4 linked regions of the Rhinolophus ferrumequinum genome follow. The protein of the gene in region 4 interacts with the protein of the main gene of each other region in a biochemical or structural test. Links are inferred from orthologs where the notes say so. Each region holds a gene or a part of one and is shown on either strand. Other genes may lie near its edges. The genes, in order: ERBB3, LAT, LCP2 and tyrosine-protein kinase ZAP-70.

Region 1 (7,014 bases), on a different chromosome or scaffold from region 4:
CCCCCTCCACCCTCAAGCCTTGGGCACAGACAAGTGACCTCACTAGCGGGGGGGAGCTCTGGTAGTGGTGGTGGGGTCAATGTGAGCTTTGTCTTTAAAACTGGAAGATAAGGAGCTGGTTGCCTACCCTACTCCGGCTTCCCTTCTCACTCCCTTCCCCTATCCCAACACACTTTCCAGCCTAGAGTATTCTTCAGCAAATATAGAGAGGCCTGGAGCAAAAGAGCAGCAAACTCCCCCCATTCTAAGCCTTCCACTCAGTTTCACTGTCTGAAGAGTAGTTAAAAAGCCTTCCAACATGGCAATCCTCACTCACATTAGGTAGAGCCTAGAATTGAGGTCCATGAGGAATGTCAGTCTGGGGGTTTGCTTCACCTTGTAAGTAAGTACAAACGATGTAGGGGCTACAGGAAATCTTGACCCTGAAGCCCTATCCCTATCTCTTTCCTCTGGCTCAGAGAAAGACTGTGGGGAGGGTGTGGGGAAGATACCACCTGTTCCAACCACCCTTCCCTGAGGCGGTGGCAGCTTAGTGGGAGGCAGGAGTGGGAATGGAGGAAGTCTGATGAGGTCCCAACCCCTCCTCCTAAATACATCCCTGGTCTGACCACTTTGAGGGCTCCCATTCCCTATCATTCCCCACAAAGGGAACGGGGCAGACAAAGAAGGGTAAGTAGGCAGGCAACTCCCGGGGAAACCTAGGGACTCCAGGGTCCTTGGGCTGAAATGAAAGAGACTAGGAAGGTTAGTCTTTTCTGGAACAGCCCCACCCCAACCCCCTTCCTGGCAGGACACCCCCTCTTCCAAGTCAAGGCGCCAACCCTTCTCTCCAGATAAGGGAGGAGCCAAGATTTCTGCACAGGGAAGTGGGCTGTGTGTGTGGACGTGCACACACTCGTGAGACACACAGATAGCTCCTCTGCTGGCCCAGAAATCTATACTAGCTCTGTTCCTGGGTTTCTTTATTAGGAAGAATTTCAGGTGGCCCCATCCATTCCACCAGCCCATTGTGCAGACTTTGAGTCCGTGCTCGGAAGGCGACTGTTAAGAGGTCCCAGTTCCCTGCCACCCAGAGGGTAAAGTCCATACTACATACACAGGGAGCAAAGGGCCTGAGCGGGAAGAGAGTATGAACACCTCTGAAGAGGCACCTTGGGAGAAGGCGGGGGGGAGGGGAATTATAACAATCCCTGTTGTACTCAGGGAGCAGGGGCACAGGGAGGGGCTGTGTCACAGGCCCTCCTAGGGTAGGGTACTGGGGTGGGTCTCAGCAAGAATCTGCAGCCCCTCCACAAGCACAGGCCTCCACTCCAACGTCCCCCACCCCCATCACAGTCAGGACAAAGGGGCTATAGAAGGACTGAGACAGGGCCGGATGCCCAGAGGCTGCATGATCCAGATAAAGGGTAAAGAGACCCAACCAAGCCTGCCCCCTGGCTCCCTCAGGGAAGGTAGCCAGGGTTCCTGGTAGAAGATTCCAGGGGTCTGAAAGGGACAATGATAGAGTCCCACTACTAGGTCCCTCCCACTCTAGTCCCCAGCCCTCCCTGTCCCCCCCCCCCAACTCCACCAGCTGGGAGTGTTCACATCTCAAGATCCCAGGGTCTAAATTTAGGCCCAGCAACTGTGGGGGAAGCACAGGTGTTTCTCCCACTCCCACTCTGGGGAAGGGGCCCTGGCTGTGCCAAACCCCAGAGCTGAGATCTAGGGGGAGGGGAGAAGATCAACAGGATTCCTTCAATGCCAGCAACATCAGCACCCCTCAGGTGTCCAGAGACACCCCAAAGGGGTGGACTCAGATGGCATGGGAGTGGGAGGAGGAATAGAAGAGCAATCTGACTCCTCTAGACTCCTAGAGACAGAGTCGGACAATAAACAGAATGGTGGTGGGAGAGAAGCTGGGTCTAGGAAGAACTCCCCAGGAAGGACAGGAATTCAGAGGGTGGGAGAGGAGCCCTGTTAGCCCTCACGTTGGGGAGAGAAAAGACAAACAGGCGGGAAATCCTTGAGGCTACTACAGCTCAGCTCCAGGTCCAGGCCTTTGCGTATAGTAGATGCTCAGTAAATTTTAGTTGATTTGCTCTGGATCTTGACAAAGAAAGGTTGGTCATGTTGGGACCAGCCAGCTTTATGGTTTTTAGGGAAAGAGGACAATCATACTCTGCATGGCCTCTCACCCTGGTATCACCTGGACTTGGCTCACTGGTTAATCTCAGCCCTCCCCAGGGCAGGCTCACTCACGGAAGAGGAGGTGCCTCTCTTGTTTTTCCAACACTAGAGAACAACAACCCCCTCCAACCCTTCCATAGCTCCACCCTGTCGGCAAAACAACAAAACTGGAGGTTGCTGAAACCCGGGGATGGGAGGGGGGTGAGGGTGGGCAAGGGACTGGGGAGCAAACTGAGACACCCCCCCTTTCTCCAAGATCTCCACCTCCAATCATCTTACGTTTACAGAATGGAAGTCCCAGCTCCCCTCCCTGCAGGGCCCCCCCAGAAGTGTGAACTCTTTCGGCATCAGTCCTATCGCAAAGGGCAAATTAGAGGGTCGGCGATGCACTAGGGAGGAGGTGGTGGTGGTGGAGGGGGTGGTCCAGGAATCCCATCTCCCCCGGTCCCACGCCTCGAACCCGAGCCAGACGGTCCCTGCCCAGGTGATCCCAGCAGATCCGGGGTCAGCATCCCCAGGCTCGCGCCACCCGATCTCCTGCGGCTGCCCCAGGATTCCGCGCACTCAGTTCGGAATCCCAGGTTCCGAGCCTGCCTGTGTTCACTCGCCGCTTACCTGCCTGTGAGTTGCCCACCTCGGAGCCCCGGGCCAGGCTGAGAAGGAAGCCCAGCACCTGCAGAGCCCCGTTCGCCCTCATGACTCCAGCGGAGGGTGAGCGGAGCCCAGCCGAATCCGGCCCCGGGGGCCCCTGGACTAAGACATCGAAGCGGAGCCACCTGAGCCTCCCGCGAACTGGTAGCTGCGGCGGACGAGGTTGCAAACTGCAACCGGAGCTGGAGCCAGAGTCCGGGGCGGGATGGCAGGGGAGGGGTGTGTGTCTGAGGGAGCGCAGAGGGAGGGGGTGAGTCACGGCCGCGCCCCCGCGGGCGCGAGGCTGGCGTGGGGACTACTGGAGCTTCCACCCGCCGCCAGCACGCCCCACGCCCAGTGCCCCGCAGCTGGGCCAAGCGGATCCAAGATGGGTCTCACCCGAATTTTTCTTTGGGAGCTGGACTAAGGGGAGGTCAAGATTCCAAACGCCCCCAAATGACTCCAAAGGGGTAAGGTAATGGGGGTGGGGAGAGAGCGCCAAAGCCCGGCCCCCTGAAAGTTGGCCTCGCCCATTAACCAAATCACTCAACTACCCTAGCCGGTTGGGTCACTTGGGGGATTTTTCTCTCCGAATGTGAACGTTTCTCTCTGTGCTTTTGAGGGGGAGGATATTTTTGCCTCACGCTCAGTTCACCTCAGTTTCCCCGGAAACCCCTCGAAACCCCATAACTCATCTACCCTGCCGAGGAACCCGAGCCCCAAGGCCGCGTGAAATTGTACTGTCTCCGGCCGCTTCCTCCTCCAGACCCGGCGCCGGCCGGGTCTCTCCGGGGGATTTGGTTGAGGGGCGGGGGTGGTTTCCAGCCTGGGAACAGACCCGGAGCCCGCCTTTCCACTTCCACCCCGGGAGGGGCTCCCGCACCTGTCGCCATCCCCTCTGCTGCCCCCCACGGCCGCCTGGGAGAACAGCTGCCTCCTCTTCCACAGGAGTCTGACCGCGCCGTCGGGGCGGCGGGAATTCCTAAAGCTCTTCTGGGGACCTAGATGGGCACACTATCCCCACCACAGGCGCTCACACCTTCCCTGGCGCCTTCCAAGCCCGGGCTGGAGCTGGGAAGGAGGAGGGGGTGGTGAAAGAGGACATGGAGAGGGCACTAGAGACTAAGTCCACGAATGGCCTGGATCCCTGGCATCTCCACCACCAGCTCCCGGATCCTGGCCAGAGGCGGTCGGGCGCTCTGCGAGTGGCAGCCCCAAATCCGGCTAGTCTCGGGACGGATCCGCCGGGCGCCCCCTGGTGCGGAACCCGTGGCAGTGAGGCTCCACAATTGGCATTCCGGATTTTAGCCAGAGAGTTAATTATTTTCTTCACAGTTTTTAGCCTGAAGACGTCGAGAATAGTTGATGAAGAAAAATTTTGCCTCTCACTCCGACCCTAGACTACCGGCTACAGTTCTTTAAACTTGCTCGGTATTGATATACACCCTAGAGGGTCCACTCTCTGCTGGAGGCTTACCTTTGCCGGAGGGCGTTGGCCTTGCCCTGACCACTTGCATAACAATCATAATACAGTAGTAATCAACGTCAGCGAAACCTTAACATATACACACATATACCACTTAATTTGCAAGCGTTTCCTCAAACTTACAGAATGTTTTACTTAACATAAAAATGTATGCTAAGGGACCTCAGTCTACATTTTATGGAACTGGAAAATGTGTAACTTCTCCAAGGTCATGTACTTGGTGACAGTGGATCAGGTGATTAGGAAGAGGGGCTCAGGTTTTTGCTGAGGATTTCTTATGTCACACTGATACTGGAGCTTCATCTGCTTCTGATCAGATTCCCATCAGATAACTGAACAAATACCATCTTAAGGCGCCTTTTGTTTTATTACCCATCTCAATTTAGTGTTCAAAGACACTGTTTCTGAAGGAGGAAACCCTCCTTAGTTTGTTTGTAAAACAGTTTTGTCTATTTATAAAGGTTGTTGTTTGAATTTAATGAGAAAAGGCAGGTAGAGCTCTTAATTATTGTGTTGCACTGGACCTTTAAAGAAGAATTCAATGAATACTAGCTGTATTTATTCCAGCTATCACCAACCCCACCTCTCCCTTTCCCAGCTAGATCCCAAGGTGTGTTTGCTGGTATCCATTCTTCAATAATTAGAGAAACATAGGGATATAAACACTGGATAAAGCTGACAAGTGAGGGGCCATCTCTATTGGGTGCTACCCTAACTGAATAAATAAAGGAAAGGAGGCCGTATTTTAGAAAAGCTACAGTTATCCAGAATTCCTTTATCTTTCTTATTTGTTATCTGATGACTTTGGTTCTTATTTTACTGTGAAAATAAAAGTAATCAAAAGAAAACATCCTTATCTTTCTACCACCAATCTGGCCAATTTTCCTCCATCTTCACTTATATACTCTGACTTCCATCTTGTTATAATGAATTGTCCTTGCTGCTATTAAAGCTGTCACTCCCCCATTCCCATCCCTTACCCCAATTCACCCTCCAGTTCTACATCTCAGATCATTCCTTCCTGCCTTTCTCCTATATTATCCCCTTTCTCCTATAGTATCAAATTTCCTTTCTACTAGATCATTCCCATTAACATACAAATGTACTGTAACACCTGCCGTCTTTTAAAAAAACATACAACAAAACAAATAAACTTTCTTTGACCCCATGGCCTTTGTTCCTAACTGCTGCAAGGTATTCTGTCATGTGAATTCCTATGCTTTATTTGTTCATCACTCCAACGATTGCCTCTTGTTTCTGGCTACCACAGCGATGTTGCAATAGAAATAAATACCCTTGTATGTGTCTCCTTTGGTTCTTATGCATAATAAACCACACTCTGGAATATTACACCATAAGTAGTGGGATTTCTGTATCCCAACTTCCTCACCAATACTTGACATTATTCAGGTTTCCATTTTTTTTTTAATTTGCCATGAATTTAAAATAGCACATAGCAGGGGCTGCCGGTTAGCTCAGTTGGTTAGAGCGTGATGCTGGTAACACCAGGGTTGCCGGTTCGATCCCCACATGGGCCAGGATGAGCTGCGCCCTCCCCAACTAGATTGAAACAACTACTTGACTTGGAGCTGATGGGTCCTGGAAAAACACACTTGAATAAATAAAAGTTAAAAAAAAATACGGTGAATGTTTAAATAAATAAATAAATATCACATTGCATTTCTATAATTACTAATATGTTTGAGTGTCTTCTAACATTTTTTCCTTTGTTTCTCTTTTATGAATTGCCTATTCATTTTCCTTTGCCAATTTTCCTATAGGGATTTTCATGCTTTATATCGATTTGCAGCAGTTTGTTATGTATTTCAGATATTAGTCCTTTGTTGGTTTAATTTTATTTATTTATTTACTTATTTACTTATTTATTTATTTTAGAATTTTTATGAGTTTATTTGAGTCAAACTGACAACATATGCCAGGGAGCAAAATCTCAAATGTTCTTCCTTTTGTTGTTTTTAGACATTGCAAATATCTCTTCTCAACTTTCTTCATTAACTCTGTCAATAACTTGTTTACTGAACAAAAGTCCTTTGGTATAATCTGATTAGTCAATTTTACTTATGGTTTGTGATCTTGATATTTTTAAAGACTTTCTTCCCCACGCTTGCAGCACGTTTATTGAGGTATAATTTAAATATAATTGATATATAATAAGTTGTACATCTTAAGTCACAATTTGATGAGTTTTGGCATAGGTATATAATCCAATCAAGATAATGAACATATCCATCACCCAGGAAAACTTTCTCTTGCCCTTTGGTAATCATTTTCCTAGTCCCCGTAATCTCCCGCAGCCCCACCCCAGCATGTATATATTCAGTTGTTTAAGCATCACTTGTTGATAGTAGATTTTAATAATAAAAAATACTAGTACTACATAGTAAAAATAGGTATTTGTGTTTAGGTATTTTTAGGGGAGAAGTTTTCAGGGACTTGTCAAGTAAATACTTAGGCAAAGTAAAAGGTATACACCAAGTAAGTTTCATATAACATATTGCCCCTGCAAGAGTGATTAATGCAAAAAAACAAACAAAAAACAACACATACACAATTAGAACTAATAAGAACATTAAAAAATGTTCTGAGTATAACAACAATACTACCCAATTAATAGTAGTTATCTTGATTCTAAAACTGGATAATGAAGATGCATGAAATAAGTTATTGATTCATCTCACATATATGTATATACAATATCCTAAATAGAA
Region 2 (7,518 bases), on a different chromosome or scaffold from region 4:
GTGGTGTGAGGACTAAAGCAGTGAATATGAAGTGTTAAGTATTAAGCAGTAAGTGCTACCAAGCCTCTGTTAAATAAATAAACCCTACCGCCATCCAGAGGGGACAACCAAGGTACAGGAGGGGAAGGCCCAGGCTCAACAGCTCCTGGGAATTGAGGTTTAATATGCTAATACACGTAAAACTCTTAGTAGGGCATGGATTAGGCTCTCAATAATATCAGTTCTTTTATCATGACTCTGCCTCCTTGGCTCTTCTATGAGAGGTACCCAGTAAACACCACGAATGAATGAGTGAATGAATGAACGGAAATACTTGGACAAAGGGTCTGGAGCTCAGGAAAAGAGGCGACAAGTTGAGAATCTGGATGGCAAATGAAGCCAGGGTGTAGAAGTGAGGGGCACGTATATAGAGAGAGGAGAGTAACAGACACTGAAGAAAGCTTTTCACAGGCAGGATGAGACCAAAACGAAGGAAGAAAAACAGCTCAAAGGAAACAGACAATGCAGGAAGCAGAAAAGTTCCAAAACAACAAAAACAACAAAGACAGCCTATAATCAATTCCCTTCGAGATTTACAAGATGACTTTGCCCCCCCACCCCCATGAAACAAGAACAGGAAGCTATGAAAAAGGAACATTTGGGGATCGACAAAGAGTTTTCAGAGCCGCGACACAAAATAAAAAAAGAGAGTCAAGGAATAGCCCTGAAAGAAGAATAAAGTCAAGGAAATCTCGCAGACAATAAAAGGAAAACAAAAAAAGCCAGAGCGATAGGAAAGAGGAGAGAACAGGTAGGAAAATCAGAAGATTGGAGCAGGAAGTGCTCTCTCTGAAGGATGGCAATTGTATAGAGAGAAGAGAGAACGCAGAGGGGTCCAAGCTCCAAAGAAACAACCGGAGAGGAGAGCGTGGAGGGGCTGGCACCGAGAGGTGGGGGGCGGTCACAGTGGGACTCACTGGAGAAGGCGCTGTCTCGGAGGCCGGGGTTGCTGGGCACCGGAGCTGCTGGGACAGCGGTGCCAGTGGCCGGGGCCGTATCAGGAAGCACCTCCCTGAGGGGAAGTCAAGGGGCGAGTGAGCAAAGACCGGGGCTCGGCCCCCTCCCCCCTCCTGACCACTCACAAGTAGCCCTCGTTGTGATAATCTTCCTCGTCCTCGTCTTCATCGTCATCCTCACAGACGGGCTCTGTGGTAATGACACAGAGGTCAGCAGAGCCTGGGGCAGGCCCCCCGCCCCCAGCCAGGGCACCGAGGGTCCCTGACGCACCCTCGTTTTCATAGCTTGCCACACTGTTGGCTGCAGAGAGAGGGAGCGAGAGGGAGACTGAGTCAGCTGAGGCAGGGCCTCTCGTGTGCCCAGCCCCAGGCCCTGGGCCCCGCTCCACACGTACCGCCATCTGAGTCCTGCCGGGAAGATGGCATGCGGTGGGAACCCCCTGGGGGCTGTGGGGATCTCCTGGGAGTCAAAAGTAAGAGGTCATGCCTAGGTTGGGGCTCTGGGGCAACGGGGTTTGCAAAAGAGAAGGGGTCCCAACCCAAGGAGCTGAGCGGTAGAGAGAGGGGGTTGAAGGAGAAGGGGCCACTTACGGGATGGGGAGTAGGTCTGGCTGGCTCAGGGGTGGATAGGACGTAACAGGTGGGTAAGAAGTGGCTGGTGGCCAGGGGGCGAGCGTGGCTGAGGACACAGGATCAAGCTGAAGGAATGACTCTGGACATCATGCCCCTCCCGCCGTCGAGGCCCCGAAGGGCACACTAACACCCTGAAATTTCTGTACCCCGGCCAGGTCTGGGGGCACCCATCTCCCTCCCCACCCCAGCTTAGGTCAGGCACACACTTGCTCACATGTCAGGGCACTCACACGCCAGGGCACTCTCTTCCCTACCCCAGAAGGAAGGGACCCTCCATGTACTCACGAGGCCGTTTGATCATGATGCTACTTGGGGTCAAACTGGCAGGAAAGACAGAGCTCGGTAAGGGGCCGGGAGAGGCCCCAGGCCCAGGCCCAGCCTGGCAGTGGGTGTTAGGGGCCAAGGGCAGACTCACCTATCCGACGGTACACTGTCATATGAGTCTGCGGAAGAGAGGGCCAGTGAGGCAGGAAGAGGGGGTGACTGGGGACGGGATGATGGAGTCTGGGGCTCTCCATGTCCATGTGCAGGACAGAGTTCGGGACACTTCACGATGGCGTGAGGGATCGGGCAGGGGGGCGAGGACCCCTGTGGGTCCCTCCGAGCCTCTGGTCCCCCTGCCAGCGCCCACTCACCTGGCAGTTCTCGGCAACGCACACAGAGTGCCATCAGCAGCACAGCCAAGAGAGGCAGCAGCAGGGGGCCCAGCACCAAGGAGAGCAGGACGGCCGCCTCCATCTGCAGGAGAGCTGGGACCAGGCCTGGCTGCTGGCCGAACGCCCTCCAGGGCAGAGCTCCAGCAGGGGCAGAGCTGAGCTAGCAGGGGTGCCGGGCCCAGCACACCCGGCTAGGAGCCTGATGAGGGGGCAGCCGCACCCTCCTCGAGGGCTCCCCGGATCCCCTTGCCTCACTGGGCTGAGTGGGGGTCAGCGCTGGCTCTGGAAGACCCTGGATCCCAGGGTGGTCAGGCCAGGGCCTAGGCTGGAGTCTGGGGCACCAGCCACTGGTGTGGACCCCGCGCCCAGGCCTACCTGCCCCCCGGCTCCGCGCCTGCCTCTCCTCCGCGCCTGCCCGCCTGCCTGCGGCAGGAAGCTGTGGTGAGCACCGGGTGAGGGCAGGAAATCATCGGGCTCCTCAGCCGGCTGCACCCACCCCCTTCCCACCCCCACCCAGCCAGTGGGGACTGGGGGGAGGAGACCTGAGGAGCCACCCCCAGGTCCTCAAAAAGGGGCTGCTGGCCTCCAGGACGTACCAGTGGGAGAGAATGAGACAGCTGCAGGCCAGCCACGGACGCAGCACGGAGGGAGGCTGGCACCGGGAATTCGGAGGGGCACGGGGCAGTGCCCACCCCATCGCCCGAGCCAGCCGGCCAAGGGGCGGGCTCTCGGGAAGCAGGGGCGTGACTCATAGTCACACGGAGCCAGCTCACGCCACCCTCCGGTTCACCAGCCCAGAAGCCCCACACAACTGACCCAACAGCCCCCCAGGGCTGGAGAGGGGGCATCCCATACAGTCCTGAGATAGGAGGTCACCAGCACCCACAGAGACTCAAGCAGGCAGTTGGGGACTGGCTACAAATTTTATTCAGTTACAAATAGCACCGAGCCCCTGGGGCTGCTCCAGGGGAGAGGTGTCCCCTCCTGGACTCACAACGCCCCCCCCTTGGCCATCCATGTAGTGTATGGGAGCGGGAACACGGCCCAGTGCCCCTCCTGGAAGCGGGGCCAAGTCGGGGGTTTGGGCCCGGGCACCTCCGGGGGTGGGCCCGAGGCCTGCTGTGTTTGGTGTGCAGGTAGGCGAGGGACAGCCCTTCAGATGAGCACGCTGGACACGGGGACCCGGGTGGAACGGCCTCGCTGGGGCACCACAATGCGGTCATCTTCCGGGCCTGCCTCGCGCAACAGACCTGGTGGGGGAGGGGTCAGAGCCAGGGTTGGCTGGACAGACAGACACAAAGCCACTGTGGGACAGACAGTGGGAAACGCCTGGGGCCCCGGAGCTGTGGGCACGGCGGGACGTCAGCCTGTGGGCCAGGCAGACCCGAAGCTGGATGAGGGGAGAGCTGGGGTGTGAGGTGCCAGGGACGTGGGCTAGGCCACAGATGGGCTGGCGGATGACCAAACAAGCAGGCAGAACTGTGACCTAGGGCAAGGGGAGGGGGGCCCGACTGACCCTGCACGTGCAGCTGGGCCTGCCGGCGGTCGCCCTCAATGAAGATGGCAGTGCCCAGGAAGGCGGCTCCGCCCAGGGCCCCCACGAAGGCGCAGAGCATGAGGGAGAACTGCAGGGCCCGGAACTCGGACAAGAAGGAAGGGGGCCAGCTCCGGCGGAGGCGGTCGGACATCTGTGGGGAGACGAGGAGGAAAGCCAGCAGGGTCACGGGGAGGGCAGCGGGAAGAGGGAGGCTCAAACTCCAGAGAATGAAAGGGGGACCTGGAACCTCCGGGGAGAGGACCCCGGCCGCCCTGTGGAAACCTGCAAAGACAAAATCCTTCCCGTCTAGCGGAGGACCCAAGGTGACGGCTGCCTGGCATGGAAGACCCGGATCCCTCACTGGGGCCAAACCTTCCGGTTCAGCCCAGGCTCAGGCCACTGACCACCGGCCGGTGCCAGGAAGGCAGGGTGCCCCAACCCCCACCAGGCCCAGTGAAGGAGCAGTGCTCACCAGGCCAATGAGGTAGGGGCTCCCAGCGTCCCCCAGCAGGTGGGACAGCACGATCTGGAAAGCCTCGGCCGTGGAGCGCCTCGTAGGGATGACCACGTACTGGGAGGAGGGCAGGAGACAGCAGGCAAGGAAGGGGTCAAGGCTCCGCCGAGGCTGAGGTCACAGGTGTGATGGGGGAGGGCAGGGCAGGCCGGGACTACAGGCCCACCTGAGGCTGGACTCAGAAGCCAGTGTGGGGCGGGGGCTCGCGGAACGGACAAAGGCCACAATTCAAGGCAAGTGAGGCCTCCACTCCCTGCACCCACCAGCATCGGGCCCAATGCTGGACCGGCCCACCTACTCACCAGTAGAATATCAGCCACGATGGCCCAGTTCATGGACAGCAGTGTCTCCCCAATAAAGATGAAAATCTGGGGGACCAGAGGGTGGTGTGGGGGAGCGGGGATGATCTCATCACAAGAAGAGCAAACACGTGGAGGCCCATCTACTAACCCGTTTAATCCTCACAATACCCCCATGAGACAGAGCTATTCTTCCCATTTACACATCATGAACCTGAGCACAGAGATGTTAAGTCACTCGGCCCACGCCACACAGCTGGGAAGGGCAAGAGCTGATTCAGAACCAGGCCCTCCTGCTCCAAGCTGGTTCTGAACCACGGGGCTGGCTGAGCCCAGTCCTGCCCCAGCGCCCCATTCCTCCACCCTGAACCCCCAACACCCCTCTGGACACCTGCTGGCTACTCACGTAAGTGGCTACGATGCTGCCGCGGGCACAGGCGACAGACAGGAAGAGGAAGGGTGCAGAGCCCAGGAGGCCGGCCGCGCAGACCAGTGGGTCAGCCCGGGGGTTGCAGCGGCGGAGGCGACGGCTGATCTCCACCCCCAGGGACACACCCAGGACCCCCGTCAGGCAGGTGATGAGCCCAAAGACGAGGCTGGGGGAGGCGGGGGCACACGGGCTAGTCCATCTGCCTGCAACGCCTCCCCGCCTCACCCCAACAGCCTGGAGAGGAGGATGGTCCACCCCGGTCGCCCACACAACCCAGGCACCGCAGCCCACAGGTCACCAAGCTCCCGCCAGCTGTTTCCCAACCAGGACGCTGAGAGGAAGTAGCGAGTGGAGCTGGGATTCAGACTCTCCCTGTCTGAGCCTGGATTGTCCTCTGTCCCCTCCATCTCCTGCCACCTGCAGGCCACCCAGCCCAGTCCCCAGCTGGGTACCTGTCAGAGGACGAGCAGGAGTCTCCAGGAAGGCAGGGTGGGGTCTCCCCCAAGACCACACGGGAACGCAGCAAGAATGCAGGAGCCCAAAGAGCCAGGGAGCCCGTGACAAAGGCCACAGCCGTGAAGCCAAGGGAAGACAGGATGAAACTGGGGCTGCACAGATCGTTGAAAGGGAGGATGTCAGAGTCCACCGAGGTGTCAGAGGAGGGGACTCCGTTCTCCCCTCCTGGTGTATTTTAGTCAGGTCAGGGCACTGGGGGTGGAGGCCGCCCTGGGTCCCAAGGTCTGGGCCTGTAGTTCCTGCAGCTGCCACAGGGGGCAGTAGTGACTGCATTCCTGGCCCCAGGGAGGGCCAGCTTGGGCTGCGATGGAATTAAACTCACTTTCTGGCCAGAGCTCTCAGGTCTGCCCACCACGAGGTTGGGTGCAGGGGTGGGGAGTCTGAGTGGCGCTCCACAGCTCCCCTCGGCGGCTCCCGTACCACCAGGAATAGCAGCAGTACAGCCACCACTCCCAGACCTGGTGTCACCTGGGGAAAGAGTGGGCTTCAGGCCGAGCACGGGCGGACACCCTCACCTGTGGGGCTGGGAGAAAGGGAGGGTGTGTAAAGGCACCTCAGGCCCCAAGACCTCACACACCTGGGCTAATGCTGGCTCAAGGAAGCTGGCCTGCACCTGGGGGGAGGAGCAATGGCCACTAGGGCCACCCCCACTTCTGCATGCTTAACTGCTCCCTCTTTGGTAACAGCACCCTGATTTTCTTCTGGGAAACCACTCCCCCCGCTTCTCTCAATCCATGTGGTTCAAACGGGGCTCGGAACCCAGACTTGTCCAGCCTCAGTGACCAATTCAGTGGCAGACACGTGACCCATGCTCATCTAACCGGATACTATCCAGGACTCCTACGCAAGGACCCAGGGTGCCTTAAGTCTCTAACTGAGGAGATAAACGTGTGGAGCTTTCTCTCACTCGAGAATGAAGTGAACACAGAGGAAAGGGGAGCTAAGACAAGGATTACCCAGTTCCTGTGACGGTGGGAGTCCTGGATCAAGCTGTACCTGAAGCTCACCCTGGGACTTTCCATTATGACAGCCAGCCCTGTCCTACGTGGGGGCTTACACTTTCACAATGCGTTTCTGTCACCTGCAGCCAAGAGCTCTGTCTGGCACATGGTTTTGTGGGAAGGGAAGCGAGGCTTTCCACAGGCTTGGCAGAGGAAACACTGTTTTGAAAAGAGGTGCCGAGAGGTACCTACCCCCAGGTGGAGAACAGACTCACCCTCAGAGCCCAGTGCCAATCTCCAGCCATGTCCTTCACTTTGGAGCCTGCGATATAACCCAGACCACTGGCGGGGAGGGGTGGGAAAAGAGAGGGGACAGCCGGTCAGTCCTGCCCAGTGCCAAGCTCTTCTGACTGCCCACCGGGCAGGCCCGAGGCCCACGCACCTGCCCACAGGGATGGCGAAGTAGAACACGCTCAGCATGCGACTCCGCTGGTCTGCCACGAAGAGGTCGGCGATGAGGGTGGGTGCGATGGTGGAGTAACTGGCCTCCCCGACCCCCACCAGGCCCCGGGTCAGGAGGAGCAGCCAGAATCGCTGGGGAAGGAGACAGGGGGACGTGGTACCCGCCCTGCAGCCAGCCTCCCAGCCCGCCTCACCAGCCAGCTCTGGACAGGCGGCAGGGATGGCGGGAGAGGCCAGGGTTTTAGAATCAGACAGACCTGAGCTTGAATCCTGGCTCCACTACTTACTAGCTGTGAGTTTGGGAAAGGAACTTAACCTCTCTGAGCCTCAGTTTCCTCATCTGCAAAAGGCGGATAATAACAACTTCACATAACTATTGTGAGGACTGGATGATAAAAGGTCTGTTCATTACCTTGTGCCCAGGGAGGACAAAATAAATCTTAATTTCTATCTTGCCCACCCCACCCAAGACACCCCAGCCGTGAGTCATGATCTTAGATGGGGGTGTTATTTGTCTACCAAAGACACCAGAAGC
Region 3 (7,471 bases), on a different chromosome or scaffold from region 4:
AGTTCACTGGCATCTTTATCAGACGTATCTCTGATTTTGCAGCGTGCCAACTTCAACTCTAAATAGACAGATAGCCTGGCAGACTGGAACTTGCCTGGAAGTTCGTTGTGATTCACGGCCTGGGGGGTAGCGTCTATATTTTTAGCAAATACTTTGATGATTCTTATGAGCACCCAGCTTTGGTTGGCACTGGTCTAGAGCAGGTACCTCGGGTTGTAGAAGAGCCAACTGGGGCCCAGAGAGGGGAAGGGACTGGCCCCAAGTCACACAGTGAGTTGGGGACACAGCTGGGGGTAGAAGCCATGGCTCTGAGCCAGTGCCTTCTCCACTGCATAGCCTAGGAAAGCTGTCCTGCTAAGCCAAAGGGGATAGGAGGGCTTAAAGGAATATAAAACATGACTTCAGTCCTCAGGGGCTCACATTCCAGACACAAGATGAGCTAACGTATCTGAGATAGTAAGACACAAAGACCTGCCAGTCTGCCTGGGCACCCCAGCGAGGGTCCAGTGAACAGAGCAGGACAAAGGGAAGATTGAACATGAATTGCCCCCCTCTCTCTGCTGAATGCCTCACACCCACTATTTCCTTTAATTCCCCCAACAATCCCACGAGGTTAGTTACTATCACTATTTAACCGATGAGGAAGCTGAGGCACAGAGATGTCGAGTAACTAAAGGAAGGTCACCACACTAGCAGGTGGCAGAGCCAGGAGTGAAACTAAGATGTGTCTGACTCCAGAGCTGGCTGGGGAGGTGTCTCCAAGGAAGGCCTGACCCCACTGCTTCCTTAGAAACTGGACTTGACAATCAATCCTGTAACTAGGGCATCGGGTGGCTAGGGTCCATCCCCAAGTGATCCGTTCGTGCTGGTTCAATCGGTACGTTCTCTCTGAGGACTCAGGTGCTCAGGATTTGGAGGGTGTCTCTCTGAGTCCTGGAGGCTGGGACTTCCCAGATCACAGATGCACCTCCGTTTCCTTCTTCCTCTCCCCTGTTCTTTTATGCTGAGAGCAGTAACCTGTCCTGGTGCTACAAATTTGTCCCAGAGTCTGGGATTTCCAAGAAGAAAGCTCTCTCTCAGGCAGAGGCCATGCTCCCTGAATCATCCCTAACCCATAGTTCATCTCCCTGTGCCAAGGGGGACATTCGTTACCCAGGGATTCGCTTGTTGGACTGGGTTGTGCCATTCTCCTTCTCACATTGGAGATGGGGACTGTCTGTGCCTCTCAGTCTGTCCCCGGGTTTCCCTCCCTAATTCTTCTCTTCTTTCTTTATTGAGTTAACGTGCCCCTTGACAGCATTTTGGCAAATTTCACCTTGTGCCTTAGTTTATTTGATCTACATTTAAGATAAGTATGTAGAGACATCCTTCAAAAGTCAGTTGTTCAATCTTAACACCCACCATGTCAAAAGTTTATTATGACCTTTGAGAGGGAATAAGAACAGAAATGAGATGCACACAAAGCAGCCAATAACAGGCTCTGTCGGCTGTCCCTCTATCATGTCATTCAACATTTTCATACTTTTCTTCTTTAGCTTGGGGAAGAATAGTTGTGATAGTCAATTTCTTGGTACCCTATAGACCCCAGGTTTGGCTCGGTGTCCTAAGGAGAGTATTCCACCCCCAGAAAAAAACAGAAAGTTGAGTTAGATCTCTAAGCCTTGACTTTAACGTCTCCTCTTTATGACAGTCTGGAGTGTCAACTGAATTTACTGCCAGCCTTCAGGGATGGGGGTGTGAGAGAATCAAGTGTCCCTCACAGACTCTGTATCCCTTGGACAGGGACACAGGGTCCCTTACTGAGTCATGTAGCTTGGGATCTGCCCAAACAGATATATAAACTGTGGTCCCAGCAGCAGATGACCGAGCACAGGGATCCTTGAGCATCTCCACATCCGGAAGGCAGGACGGCAACATTCTGGCCTCAGCTCTGCCACAAGCTTAGCCTCTGACCCTGCCTGGCTAAGCCTCTTCCTCTGTAGGGAGCTCAGTTCCCCTGGCTATAACCTGGGCTCCTATCGGTTTTCTGACCTGCTTCACAAGACTCTCATAAAGCTTCAACGAGCCTCTGTCCCATATAAGGGCTTGAGACCCCGCTTTCAGGGTCATGAGCACTGACTGCCCAGCTGCCACCTCCCGCATTGCTCATCAGAGCCTTCTTCATCCCTCCTACCCTGCCTTTTCTTTCTCCTGCCTCCTGGACTCCATTTCTCCCTTTCTAGTAAGTAGCCTTGATCTCACGAGTAGTTCTAGCAATTCTGCAGCTCAGAGCATAGACTTTGAAACCAGACAGGCGTGACTGGAATCCTGCCTCAGTCACATGTAGTCCCTGGGGCTTTGGGCCATTTAACCTCACTGAGCTGATTTTGCAGCTGAGTCAAAGGAACAACAACACTGGAGAGTATTAAATGGGACAGAGCCTCGAGAGCACACACTCAAGCCCTGGCACATACTAGCTGCACATTCATTCGAGGGCCTCCCTTCTCCGCAGCTCTCACTACCACGAACGCTCAGGGGTGTAGGTGTATCTACATGGCACTCGCACAACTGGGGAGGTTGCTGCGAGGTTGGAAGTTCCATTGCTATCTTTTCCGCCTCTCCTGTGCGGCCTGGACTCCATCTTCAAGCCTCTGTCCAGCCCACCGAGGACATTGCCAGTCCCGCCACCAACAAAGAGCAAGGCTCACCTTCCTGAAATAGTCGGCGAGGCTCTCGGCATCCCAGGCCAGGACCTCTGAGCGGAAGGGCACATTCCGCAACGCCATGGCTGCTCTCCCAGGAGGAAGCTCAAAAGCTGAGTGTGGGCGCTGCACCCATGGACAGAGAACTTCAAATCGAGGGTGTGGAGGTGTCCTTGGCTCTTCCAATTCCCAGTTACTCTTTGGAACAGCCTCGTTGGAGCAAACGTCTTTTCTGCTGTAACCAGATCCCAGAAAGCAACGTCTTCCTCCGCGAACAAATATGGTCTCTTCTCAGAAAACGACTCAGCAAGTTTCCTTTACCACTTCCTCTGCTGGGCTCTAAATAAGTAAACAAGGAAGCTCAGCTCTGGGGACTGGAGAGACAGAGAGAGCGACAGGGTTGGTGATACCCTGCTGGTCCCAGCCACCCCAGCCGGGTGGGAGGGGTGACGAAGGGGACGTAGACTCTCCCGTGAGTCCAAGTAGGCTTCCATTAGAACTCTTGGCACCCATGTGTCCACACCACATTCCTGCTTGGCTGCGCCTTTGCTGATGAAAACCTATTTTGACAGTTGACCTAAAATATAGACAATTTCCCACATCAGTGCACTGCTGGGGGAGGAACATGGCCTTTTCATGCTTGCTAACCACCCCTCAGTCTCTCTCAAAGGGATAAAGTTGAGGTTCCTTCAGCTACCTCCTTAGAGGTCCTAGGAGAGGATTCTTCATGAGTGAGCTGGGTGGGCACCCAGGGCTGAGAGAGGGGCTGTGCCGGGCAGAACTGGGTGTAATTTCTGATATGAAGTCTCTGCCGTGTGCCAGCTTAGGCAAGGACGTATGATCTAGGACTCTCACTGAGTCAAGGGGAATTTCCAGATCTGTTAAAGAGGAAAACAGAAGGATTACTTCAAATGTACATAAAACGTAGATGCATTTAACTAGACAAACTTAAAGAAAAAGAATTAAAAGAAAAAAACAATAATTGCTATTGATGCTGCCATATATTCTGTTCACTGTTGTTTCCACCATACATTCTATCCAGAGCACATTTCCTGGCGTGGCCCTGAGACAGGAGATGGGCACCTGCTGTTTCCTCAGTCGGTTTCAGACTCCGTGTACTCCTCATAGTCTAAATGCCTTGTTAGCAGAGGTTGACTACAGTGGCTAAAAGCAGATGTATTTATGAGGTCTGACAATTATGTTTGTGAACTCGTCCTAGAAAAAGTGCTACGTACCTCATTACTGAACATCATTACAGTCACCTTCAAAGTACTCCCCTTGGGAAGCTATGCAACGATGCCAGCGCCTAGTCCACCTTTCAAAGCAATTTTGGAACTCTTTTTCTGGAATGGCCATCAGAGCTGTTGTGGTATTATCCTTGATGTTCTGAATGTCATCAAAATGTCTTCCTTTCAATATTTCCTTTACCTTTGGGTAGAAAAAGAAGTCATTGGGGGCCAGTTCAGGTGAGTAGGGAGGGTGTTCCAATAGTTATTTGTTTACTGGCTCAAAACTCCCTCACAGACAGTGCTGTGTGAGCTGGTGCATTGTCGTGATGCAAGAGCCATGAATTGTTGGCAAAAAGTTCAGCTCATTTTCATCTAACTTTTTCACGCAGCCTTTTCAGCACTTCCAACTAGTAAACTTGGTTAACTGTTTGTCCAGTTGGTACACATTTATAATGAATAATCCCTCCGATATCAAAAAGGTTAGCAACAAGTTCGTGAACTTAATTGTCAGACCTCGTAGGCACCATTGCCGCCTCTGAAGACAAGTTCACTGTTTCATCTCGTACTCCAGGCACGTACACATAGACGGCCATGGCTCTGATGCTTGAGGAAAGAACCCAGCTCTGTTGCATTTATTGAGTGATGCTGCATTGGTCCTGAGGTGGTGCCTTCCTGAGCTTTTTCGAGGGTAGCTTTGGCCATGTACCATGTCTGCCATTGTATGCATCAGCCTGTCGTTGCGAGTGTCAGTGAGATTGGCATTTCATCCCAGGCTGGGCTCCTTTACGGAGGTGGTCCATAAACTTAGCTGGTGTCATGCTCCCCCCCAGGGCACTAGGGGGGTCAGTGGAGGCAGCCCAGGCTGAGAACTCCTCACAGGGCCTGGACCTAAGCACGCTCTCTCATAACTGGCCATGCTCCACATGGCATGGGCCTACTCTTCAAAAGCCCGCCACTGCTGGGAGAGGTCACTTCACTTTCCAGTCACTAGAAGAGCAGCGAACAATAAAACACCATTTGAAAAAAAGGGAGACAGATAAATCACTTCCAAGTAGAATGATCAAAGAAGATGTCATGGAATTAGCTGTAATTTAAGCAAGGGGAAGATGGAGGGCATTCTGGACACACGCATGCACGTGCGCGTGTGTGTGTGTAATATGTTGGAGTGTACTTCATTAGCAAACAGAACACACCACACCTGTGGAAAGGAACATTCAAGATCATCCTGAAAAGTAGAAACAAAATTTTTAATGACATTCATTCCCATTGCCTACAGAAAAGCAGGCGTTAGAATTAAGGAATCGCTAAATATGAGGCTTTGAGGGAAGAATTATCCAGTACACACGGAGCCCATTTAGAAGAAAGACACAGCAGTTAAGAAACCTGGTGACAGCGATGACGACATGATCAGAATCATGGCAGATGCAACACATGGAGCCCTGCGTGTGCTCCAGGGAGGGACTGAGAACTGTTCACTAATTATCTCATTTCACTGTTGGCGCCATTGTGACTCCTACTTTACAGAAGGAAAAACTGAGGCTCAGAGAGGTGAAGCAACGTGCCCCCTTGCACCCGGCATGTGGGTTGTGCAGTTGGGTCTCGCCTGGACTCTCTCTGAGTTCAGAGCCCCTGTCCTTTACCTCTCTGTCACCTCAGGCTCTGAGATGTTACATAAATCGCCCAAGCTGGAGTAGGCATTCAAACCCAGCTGTGTCTCCAGAGCCTGTGCAATTTCCACTCTATCCGTCTGCCTTCCGCGAAGAGCCAGTGAGGCTGGCAGTCTGGACAAGTTAAGAAGACGATGCAGCCCTTTCCAGGAGGCAGGGCTTTGGTGACCCCGCCCCACAGGATCACAGGCCTGTTCCTCAGAAAAGGGCAGCTGTGCAGGCGAGAGCAGTTGACGCAAGGGGAAGCTGGTTGCCTGAGACCTGGAGCCTTTCCTCTTCCCCAGTCCTCGGTGATTTCCCAACGCTCACAAGTTTCACATTGCCTGTCTCTGCCTGTCTGGAGGGTTCTAGAAGCTCCTGTTGCAGGGCCAGTTAGCCCTGGGGAAGAGAGGGTCAGGACGCCAGGAGGACCAGGTAACCCTGTGCAGGCCAGCTCCTTGGCTCAGTCTCAGGCTCTATAACACGGGCAGTGACAATAGCAGCCTCTGGGTACAGCCCACAGCCGGGGGGAGGCTGCCGCAATGACGGTCAGGCCAACTTCCCACCGACCCCCTAGCGAGCATTGGTCTTGGCTTCGAGCATGAAGCAGAGTGGGAAACAGGTAAGAGGCAGAGATGTGAAGCCATGGCTCGGGTAGGACCCTCTCCCAGCACTCCCTCATGAAGGAGCAAATTGAAAGGTTAACAGAGGCCTTCTTAGGCTTTGTAATCTTTACCTCAAGGTTAGGAAGGGGTCAACTAGTCTCTGAACACAGTAAGGACTGCCTCATGGGAGTACCAGGAATGGGGTCACGGGATAGGAATCTGAAACGTGTATCCAACAGAGCCTGTGGACAAGAAAGGAACACTTGCAGGGAGTGATACGTCAGATTTTTCAATCTTAGGGACCAAAAGTGGATGTAGGAGCAGCACACTGCAACCTAGAGGGAGGTCACCCCGATATCCTCCCTGCCCCACCCCACCCCATCCAGACTTGAAGCTCCCTCCCTTTCCAGCTAACCCACAGCAGAGTAGGGGGGGAGATAACTGCCTTTTTCACAGCTAAATTTAGGGGTGAGAAAAAATAAGCAGGTCATTAACGGGGACTTGGGAGTCTCAGCCTCTGTGCGTGAGGGCGGAGGAAGGAATTGTTGCTTAGGGACCAGGAGAGAATGGAAAGTAGGGATTTTGGAGCGGAGAATGTGTTGGCCTTCTTAGGAGAGGTACCTAAGGAGTTAGCGGATGGGTGGGATGATGCGCTAGTTTGTATTTAATTTAGAAGGAGGGTGTTGGCTGGGGGAAGGAGAAGAGGTGGTAGAAAGTGGCCCAGAGAGGGTGCCATCCCTCATACGGGTTCATCCCAGCCTCACCTCCACCAACTTTTAATGGCTCGATGTATCACCTGAGGCTGAGGTGAACTGCTGTTGGTACTTTCTCTAGGGCCTGTGTGGGTTTGCTTGCAGAAGGAACGAGAACTGTAGCGGTCACCTTCACAGGGAGGGAATATTTTCCCCTCAGTTCTCTAAGGCTGGCAGTGGAAGCCCCTTCTGTGTGGACTCCTTTTGGATGGCAAATGGCTCAACCACACAGAAGGGTCAAGCGAGGAGAGCCAGGATGGGGTCCTAACTGTTCCCTTGGGCAGGGCAGCTTCACACACCTGGCAGCCATACACTGAGGCACAGAATTTAGTGACCCTGCCTCCGAATGGGTGTGCCAGGAGGGACAGGCCTGCCAAAGAGCATCCCCAGATGTGCAGGAGCCGTTCTCACCAGTACTGGTGGAGGCCACGGGGTGGGCAGTGGGGGAGGGGCGCTTGCAAGCCACACTGCGCTCTGTCCTGACCACTGCTCAGACCCTCCTCCCAGCCCAGACTGGACACCTCCCCCTTCCTGGGACATGCATGAGGAAAGCATGAA
Region 4 (7,452 bases):
AGAGGACCAACGCCAGCAGCCTTTGCACAGGCTGCTTTCTGTTCCCAGAACGGCGCCCACACCCTTCCCTTGGCCAGATGCTGCAGGTCCCCTCAGTTGTCCCCTCTCCTGGAAGTGTTCCTGCCCAGGCTGAGTCAGGCACCGCCTCTGCTCTCCCAGGGCCTGTCCTCCCAAATCACAGCCCTGATGGCTGCATAGGACCCCTGTCAGTCTGCTCGTCTGCCTCTGACCAGGCCGACCGCCCCAAGACAGAGCCTCCAGCTGTCTTGTTTTCTCCTGTAGCCCCTGCTGCCTCTGATAAATACCTATCACCCGGGCAACAACAACAGCCTCTGTGCCAGGGACTGGGTGGTACCTCTTACGAGCGTTATCCATTTAATCCAATCCTCATCTCACCTCCATTCACTGCTAGCCCCATTCCTCCTCAGCTAAAGAAACTGAGGCTTACAGGGGTCAATGCTGTGTCCAGAATCATGCAGCCTGCAATGGCAGTTGGGATTTGAACCCAGGCCTCTCACCCAGAAGCCGGCATCAACCACTCCAGTCCACGAGGACAGTGGAATCCCTGGTTCCAAGCTGTGTGCCCAGAGGCTCCCCCACCCACAGACCCCGCACTGACCCAGGTGTCACTGTCCCCTGAGCTGCCTTCAACTGTCAGGGCCCAGGCTGTCTGGGGGCCAGGGGCAGGTCCCCACATCCAGCAGACTCTCTAAGTGTATGCTGAGTGACTGGATGATGCCACGACACCAGCTTCCCCACCCCACCCCGACGTCTGCTGCCTGGGTTTTAAGGGCTGTGTGACCACGACGAGGAGCTCTCCCTCTCTGCACATCAGGCTCTGTGACTGTAAAAGGGAGATGGAAAAAGGTTTAGGGGATGAGTCTGGAGGACGGAGCCTGGTGGAGATGTGGGGACAACATGGTCCTATGCATTGCAGGGTGCTTAGCAGCATTCCTGGCCTATAGCTACTATGTAGGTGCCAGTAACACTCCCCAAGGGACAGAGGGAAGGTAAAATTGGCTGTGTCTTAACCCTATGCTTGGGGAGGGACCGGGAGTGGTCAGCATGGAGCAGTCTGGCTGCTGCAGCCCCCAGGACAGTCTAGGATATGAAGTCCAGAGCCTGAGACCACCCGGAGTGAGGAATGATCATCAGAACTACAGTTATGCTGGAACTACAAGCATTTGAACTGCCCTGGTCCACGTACACGCAGATATTTTTCAGTAACTATGCAGTCGGCCCTCCGTCTCCCAGGTTTCGCATCCACAGAGTCAACCAACCCACAGGTCGAAAACAGTATTTTTGATCCGCGGTTGGGAATCCACAGATGCGTAGGAGTGACTGTAGCCATTGTTCTAGGACATTTTATGTATCGAACTTGAGCCTCCGCAGGGGTCCTGGAACCAGCCCCCATGGATACAGACAGACGACGGTGGCGTCAAAAGTTATACATGGATTTCCAACTGTACGGGGGTCAAAAACCCTAACCCCCACATTGTTCAAGGGTCAACTATAGCAATATACTTATATAGCACCTACTGTGTGCCAGGCACTTAGATGTATTCACTCACCTAATCCTTGCAAGAGCCCTGTGAGTGAAGGATTTGTGGATTTGGGACTGAAGCATGCAAAGGTGGAGTGTGCTTCACTTCTGTGTGCCCAAGGTCACACAGCACACACAGTCGGTGGCAGAGCCAGGAGGCTAATCTAGGTCTCCTGCTCCAGAGTGTACACTTCAACACTGCCCAGTGTCCCTGCCGGGCTGCATGCATGAGGCTGGAGGACAGGCGAGAGGAGGAAGAAGCAGCTCTGGGGTGGCAGAAGAGCCTGGGCACATGGCACCCAAGGACTTGGCACCCCAGGAGTCCCAGAGCCTAATCTCTCAGCCAAGCTTTATTCAACACCTACTGTGTGCTTGCTGCCTTGGCTGAAAGAACAGTAACAATGATCATCTTGAGTTGTTCACCACACGAAGCCCTGATCCTTTCTGCCAAGACCGTTTCCTTCCTGGGGCACCTTTCCAAACCTCTCACCCAGCAGTCAGGAGTCAAGCACCTACTAGGTGCCAGTATTTTTATCTGCATGTACCAGATATATAAACTGAGGCTCAGAAAGGCCACGCAACTTGCCAACGACACACAGCGATTGAGCGGGATTCAAGCTCTTTGCTCCTTCACCCCTCTGGGACCCGTTTAACCTGAGCTGCCGTACAAGTGGCTCAAGCCTGCCCCGGACTCCTCACGGTACTCATCGGCATTTTGTTGTTCAGATTCACAGCCCTGTTGAGCCACCCTCACATTCATGGCCTCCGGCCAGAGCACAGGTTTACTTTCTCTGGAGGTTTCCCTGCTTCCTGGAACCAAGAATGCTGCCCTGGCGGGGCCCAGCGGGAGGCCAGGAACTGAACAGGCACCTCTGTGTCCCCAGGACACTTCTACTCAGCTGAGCCTCTGAAAGGGTTGGGGGTGGGGGGTGCTGCTTCCCTCAGTGTGGCCGCGTCTGCTTCCTTCTCCAGCTAGACACCCCCTGTCCCAGTCCAACAGCGCTCCGGACTCTATCCTCCTCCACCAGACCCAGGCCACCCCTGGAGACAGCAGCCAGCTGTTCCATCCGTGATGACTTACCTGGGGATGGATGTCCAGTCAAACGGGCCACCCACAAGGTCTCTGGTCCCCAACGCAGACTCACAGCTGCTTCTAGATGAAGAATGAGGGCCCAAGAAAACAACTTGGGTTTCTCTGTAGGCCAAGCCCCCAGCCTGAGGCCCCCGCTGGCTAACCAACCCCTCAGGCAAGGTGTAAGGAGGTCCCGCCCTGCCAGTTTCTCACTGGGGGGAGTTTTATTCACCTTCTGCCAGCTGCCCCAGAGTCCCCTGGGGTGGCTGTGCTGGCAGGACAGAGGCAAAAAACAAAGGATGGCCACTCACCTGGATGCAGCAGCGACAGCACGAAGGCCCCAGCCGGGCAGGGACCTGGGCCGGAAGGCCTGATGTGCTCTCAGCAGCGGGTTTCTCAGCCTATTTCCTTGATGCGAAGACAGGAAAGGGGGCTGCGTTTGAAGTTTACGTATAAGTCATAAAGTGCTGTGTTCAAGGAAAATCACAGGCCACGTGCTCCGGAGAGGGCAGAGGGCATTTCCGGGGCCAAGCAGTGCCTGCCCCAGCGGGGTGGGGGGAGGAATCAAGGCTAGCTGCAAGCAGGGGATATGCAAGAATGATGATTCCAATGGTACCCCCAAACCTCAGGAGGGGAGCTGTCTGTGCTGGAATTTTGGGGAGTGGGACAGCGGAAGTGGGAGGGGGCGGAAACTGGAATCCCCCCACTTTCCCTTCCCAAGGGGACATGGACACAGGCCAGCCCCTGACAGAACTGCCCCTATGAGTGATTCATTATTTATTCCATGGGCAGGTTAAAGCTAACAGAGGAGAAACCTACAAAGTCAGTGCACACCTCAAAGTTTCCAAGCACCTTCTGTGTGCCAGGCATCAGGACAGTGATGACAGCCCTGTCCCTGCCCTCAAATGGTTTCAGGCTAGAGGAGGAGGCAGCTGAGTCACCAGGGAGACAGAGCGTGATGGCAGAAACCTGGGCACTGTGTGTCCCCAAAGGAGCCCCACGCAGCCTGGGGGTGTCAGGGAAGGATTCTGAGAAGGATCGGCCATATCAAGGCACGGAGGCAGGGCGTCCCCAGTGCCCGCCAGTCCGGCCCCACCTGGACCTTCCCCTCCCACTGCACCTGGCTGGTCACCACCTCCGCTCCGCCACAACCACTTCCTCATCCTCTCGCCCTCCCTTCCCACACTGGCCCATCCTGTGATGGCACACACCCACCCTCGGAGGTGGTGGAGCACCCTCATCTGCTCCTTCAGTGGCCCGCAAAGTACCTGTGGCACGGCGCCCACTTCACCCCATCTCTCCCTCCTCTGCCCCAAGGTCCCTGGAGGCTCTCTCGTCCCCACTTCCTTGTCTCTTGGACCTGTGTGCCCTCAGGCATCTGTGTGGGGCTGTCCTAGGTCCACTGTTGAGATCCCAAGAACCTTCCTTCTCTGGGTCCTGCTGCCCTGGGGGAGGTGGGCTCAGCTCCCCAACCTGACTGCATTTCCTCCATGATGCACCCAGGTCTCCTCTCCTGGGGACCCTCTCCCCATTTCTGCTATCCCCCAGTTCCCTGAACCTCCCTCTCCCCACTCAGGAAATCCTTCTTCTGGGCTCCAGGCTGGGACACTTTTCTCCTACATAGATTTTCCCCTAAAACTGCTTTTGGTTAGAAGCCTTTCCTTTCCCCACAGCCATCATGAAACTCAGGATGTAGAAAAAAATCTCTTTGTTTCCATACTGGACTCCCCTTTCCTGGGGTAGTGAGAGAAGACTGCCACAGGCGAGGAGAGGACAAGTCACAGCATCAGTACCCCTACTCCGCAGAGGTAATAACAGGAGCACTTAGCCAGCACCTACTATGTGACAGACAACCCTGTAAGCAGTTCACAATTTACTCTGTTTTCCACATAATGTAAGTGAAGCCCAGAGAGGTTAATTAACAGATGCCAAGTGGCCAGGCGGGATTGGGGCTGGGGTCTGGCCCCACAGCCCACCTCTGGACACAGGAGGAGGATAGCTCCCTGCGAGCTGGCCTCCCAGAGACCTGGAAGGTAAGCAGGCTGCATGTGGGGGCTTCCATCTGGGGTCTTCTGGCCTGGGAAGGGGACTCCCAGACTCTGAGAGGCACTGGCTCAGCCGCCCTTGAGCCCCCTTCCGGTCCCATAGGCCTCCTCCTGAAACTACATGGCCCCAGACAGTCATTCTGAGATTGGCCTGCAGATAAGGCTGCGAGTTCTGCCCAAGTGATGATAGATGGATGTGTCTCCTGAATGTTCAGAGGAAAGAGCAAACAGGATGGAAATGTGGGCTGGGAAAGTTGTGGTGCATTTGTCGGGGTGGGTTGGGGTAAATATTCATTCCAGATATGCAAAGAGCCTCAGGACAAACTGATCGCTCACTCTCACACCCCACACTAGTCTCCCGGCCTGAACTCTGTCCCCCCACCTCTTCTGTCTGACTCCTCCTCCTCCACGTCTCTGGTTCCACGTGGCTTCCCCCAGAAGCCTTCCAAGCCTCAAACTGGGCAGGGTGGGCTCTATGTCTGTTCCACCCGACCCGTGCACAGGCCAGATTTGATGCCAGAATTCAAAGGACCCCAGGCCAGGGAAACCTGCCGCAGGGAGGGGGGCTGCAGGGAGAGAGCTCACAGCTCAGAGCAATGATCCCCCAAGGGAGGGTAGCCCCCCCCCCCCCGGGCCCCTTCTCAATTCCTTCCCACCTGGGGATCTTCAGCCATGCAGCTCACGTGCCTTTCCTCTGGATGGTCAGACAACGGTGATCTTTCTCTTGTTGCTCTTTTCTGGTTCTGCCACTTACAGCCCAGGGATCTCAGTAAGTTCCGTGACCTCTCTGTGCCTGCGTTTCCTCATTTAGGAAATGATACCTATCTCATAGGGCTATTGTGAAAATTAAAAACAGACCTTGAAGCACGTGCACTATTACTGCTGTCGTCGTCGTCGTTATCATCTTTAGGTTGTCCCGCTGTTTACAATGTGCTAGTGATTGCAAGTCCAAGGGCAGCAATGGGACTCCCTTGCGCCCTCCAGGGGCTGCTCTCAAGTACTGCATGCTTCCAAGTGCAATGCAGGAGCCTAGAGGTTGAAAGTGAAACCCATCCCCACCCCACTGCACCAACCCCCCGCAGAAAAATTAATCCAACCTGGTTTAAGTCACAGAGAATCAACTGGACACAACAGCACATGTGTGCTCTCCCCTGGGGTCATCAAATATCTGGCTCCTTAAACATTCAAACCATGGTGACAGTGTCACCTCTTCAGTCCTTTTGGGGCTCCCTATTGATTCAACCCCGAGCCCCTGCTCTGTGCAGACTCTGTTCTAGGCACTAGGGATCTGCTGTCAACAATTCATATGAAAATCCCTTCCCCTGTGGAGCTGACATTCTGGTGAGGGTGAAAGAGAAGTAACAAAATAAATAAGTGCTCCATAGAATATTTCAGGTGGTTTCAACTGCTGAGGACTAAAATAAATCAGGAAACGGGAGAACAAGTGTGTGGGCATGTGATTTGGAACAGAGGGGTCAGTGCAGGCCTCATGAGGGGATAGCCTGAGAGTTAAGACCTGAAGAAGGTGCAGGCGGAAGCAATGGAGAGAGACATCAGAGGAAGAGCATTCCAGGCAGAGCGAACAGCAAGTGCAAAGGCCCTGGGGCAGGTTCGTGACCTCTGAGAGGTGGGGAGTGTCTCACTCCTGGCTGCATCCCCAGCAGCGGAGTGGCACTCGGCACAAAATAGTGTTCGATAACTGTGGTCTGAGTGGAGGAAAGGCCCAGATAAGGGCGTTGAAAATGCTTGCTCAGGGTTTAAATGCTGACCCAAAAGTTGCTGCCTCCTCCACCTGTTGGTTTCATTCTCAGACAGTTTTTCTCCCTGTGGTCCAAGACAGTGATTCAGCTTCAAATGCACTTGGGGAGCAAGAACCTCTCTCAGTGCTCCCAGAAAAAGCCCCAAACAGCTCATTGGCTGAAGGGATCACATGCCCATCCCCCAGCCCGTCCCTGAAACCAGTGGCTAGGCCGTGAGTGGCTTAGGACCAGGTCACATGCCTTAGCACACCACACTGAGACAGGGGAGAAGAACCCCAGGGAAGTCAGAAGCTATGGCTGGAAGGAGGGGGGAAAGGGTGCCAGGCAGGCACAGAGCCAGAGTTTCACAGAGTAATCATCACAGCCCCATGAAGTAGGCTAGCCCCATTTTCCAGATATAGAAACTAAGGCCAAGAGGTTTCACAGCCGGTAAGTGACAGAGCCTGTGATCTCCTGGTTCAGAGGAAGCCCAGAGCCTCCACAGGGCTGGACCCTGCAGTCCCCATGCTGCTGAGTGGCCATTCCTCCCCAAGCCAGGGACAGGCTGCTGGGGCAACCACTGAGCTGACGGCAGAAGCCCTTAGCGGACAGCACACTGAGAAGGCAAAGGGAGCCACCTCTTTGATAAAGAGGGAGATGGAAGACAGTTCAGGGCAGGCTGCCTGGGGGCCCTCAGGTAAAGGGGGGGACCTCTGGCAGAGGCTGAAAGTGGCTGACCCCACTTGTTCCTCCAATGGCAACCTGAGGGAGAGACAGGAAGCCAACAGGAGGTGTGCTGCCTCTCGGGTCTGGAGTCCCAAGAGGTTGGGATGAGGGTGGGGTACCACTTGTCGGGAGCGCAAGGAAGAACCCGGTGTCTGGCGTGGCTGCTGCACACCCAGGCCTGCCAGATGCACCACACTGCATGCCCGGGAGGATGCCAGCAAGCTGCTGTGAGGAAGGCTGCACCACCTCTTCTCCAGGGTCCTCAGCACCCAGCCCAGCAGTGCCAGGCACACAGCCGGCACTCAATAACTGTACTGCTGAGCGAAC

Evidence for each region.
Region 1: the proteins of tyrosine-protein kinase ZAP-70 (region 4) and ERBB3 form a complex in vitro, tested with the Homo sapiens proteins (2 studies listed by BioGRID and IntAct, with this or other methods). The link is inferred for Rhinolophus ferrumequinum from reciprocal best matches to the Homo sapiens genes ZAP70 and ERBB3.
Region 2: of the proteins of tyrosine-protein kinase ZAP-70 (region 4) and LAT, one has a biochemical effect on the other in vitro, tested with the Homo sapiens proteins (2 studies listed by BioGRID). The link is inferred for Rhinolophus ferrumequinum from reciprocal best matches to the Homo sapiens genes ZAP70 and LAT.
Region 3: of the proteins of tyrosine-protein kinase ZAP-70 (region 4) and LCP2, one has a biochemical effect on the other in vitro, tested with the Homo sapiens proteins (2 studies listed by BioGRID). The link is inferred for Rhinolophus ferrumequinum from reciprocal best matches to the Homo sapiens genes ZAP70 and LCP2.

Annotation. Positions count from the first base shown.
Region 1 is NC_046293.1:55,449,688-55,456,701, reverse strand, and holds the start of ERBB3 (receptor tyrosine-protein kinase erbB-3), read right to left. Parts: upstream 3,008-7,014; 5' UTR 2,867-3,007; coding exon 2,785-2,866; intron 1-2,784. UniProt on the Homo sapiens protein: Tyrosine-protein kinase that plays an essential role as cell surface receptor for neuregulins.
Region 2 is NW_022680357.1:1,328,354-1,335,871, reverse strand, and holds the start of LAT (linker for activation of T-cells family member 1), read right to left. Parts: upstream 3,007-7,518; 5' UTR 2,881-3,006; intron 2,708-2,880; 5' UTR 2,367-2,707; coding exon 2,264-2,366; intron 2,072-2,263; coding exon 2,044-2,071; intron 1,949-2,043; coding exon 1,914-1,948; intron 1,675-1,913; coding exon 1,587-1,674; intron 1,456-1,586; coding exon 1,391-1,455; intron 1,297-1,390; coding exon 1,122-1,296; intron 1,052-1,121; coding exon 957-1,051; intron 1-956. Other genes in the region: SPNS1 (protein spinster homolog 1), read right to left, coding at 3,440-3,534, 3,801-3,972, 4,294-4,392, 4,638-4,703, 5,041-5,230, 5,517-5,672, 5,903-6,048, 6,797-6,863 and 1 more. UniProt on the Homo sapiens protein: Required for TCR (T-cell antigen receptor)- and pre-TCR-mediated signaling, both in mature T-cells and during their development.
Region 3 is NC_046307.1:36,963,465-36,970,935, forward strand, and holds the start of LCP2 (lymphocyte cytosolic protein 2), read right to left. Parts: upstream 3,017-7,471; 5' UTR 2,766-3,016; coding exon 2,688-2,765; intron 1-2,687. UniProt on the Homo sapiens protein: Adapter protein primarily involved in signaling pathways within T-cells, as well as other immune cells such as platelets, mast cells, and natural killer (NK) cells.
Region 4 is NW_022680356.1:2,476,123-2,483,574, reverse strand, and holds the start of tyrosine-protein kinase ZAP-70, read right to left. Parts: upstream 3,003-7,452; 5' UTR 2,927-3,002; intron 2,697-2,926; 5' UTR 2,625-2,696; intron 1-2,624. UniProt on the Homo sapiens protein: Tyrosine kinase that plays an essential role in regulation of the adaptive immune response. Regulates motility, adhesion and cytokine expression of mature T-cells, as well as thymocyte development.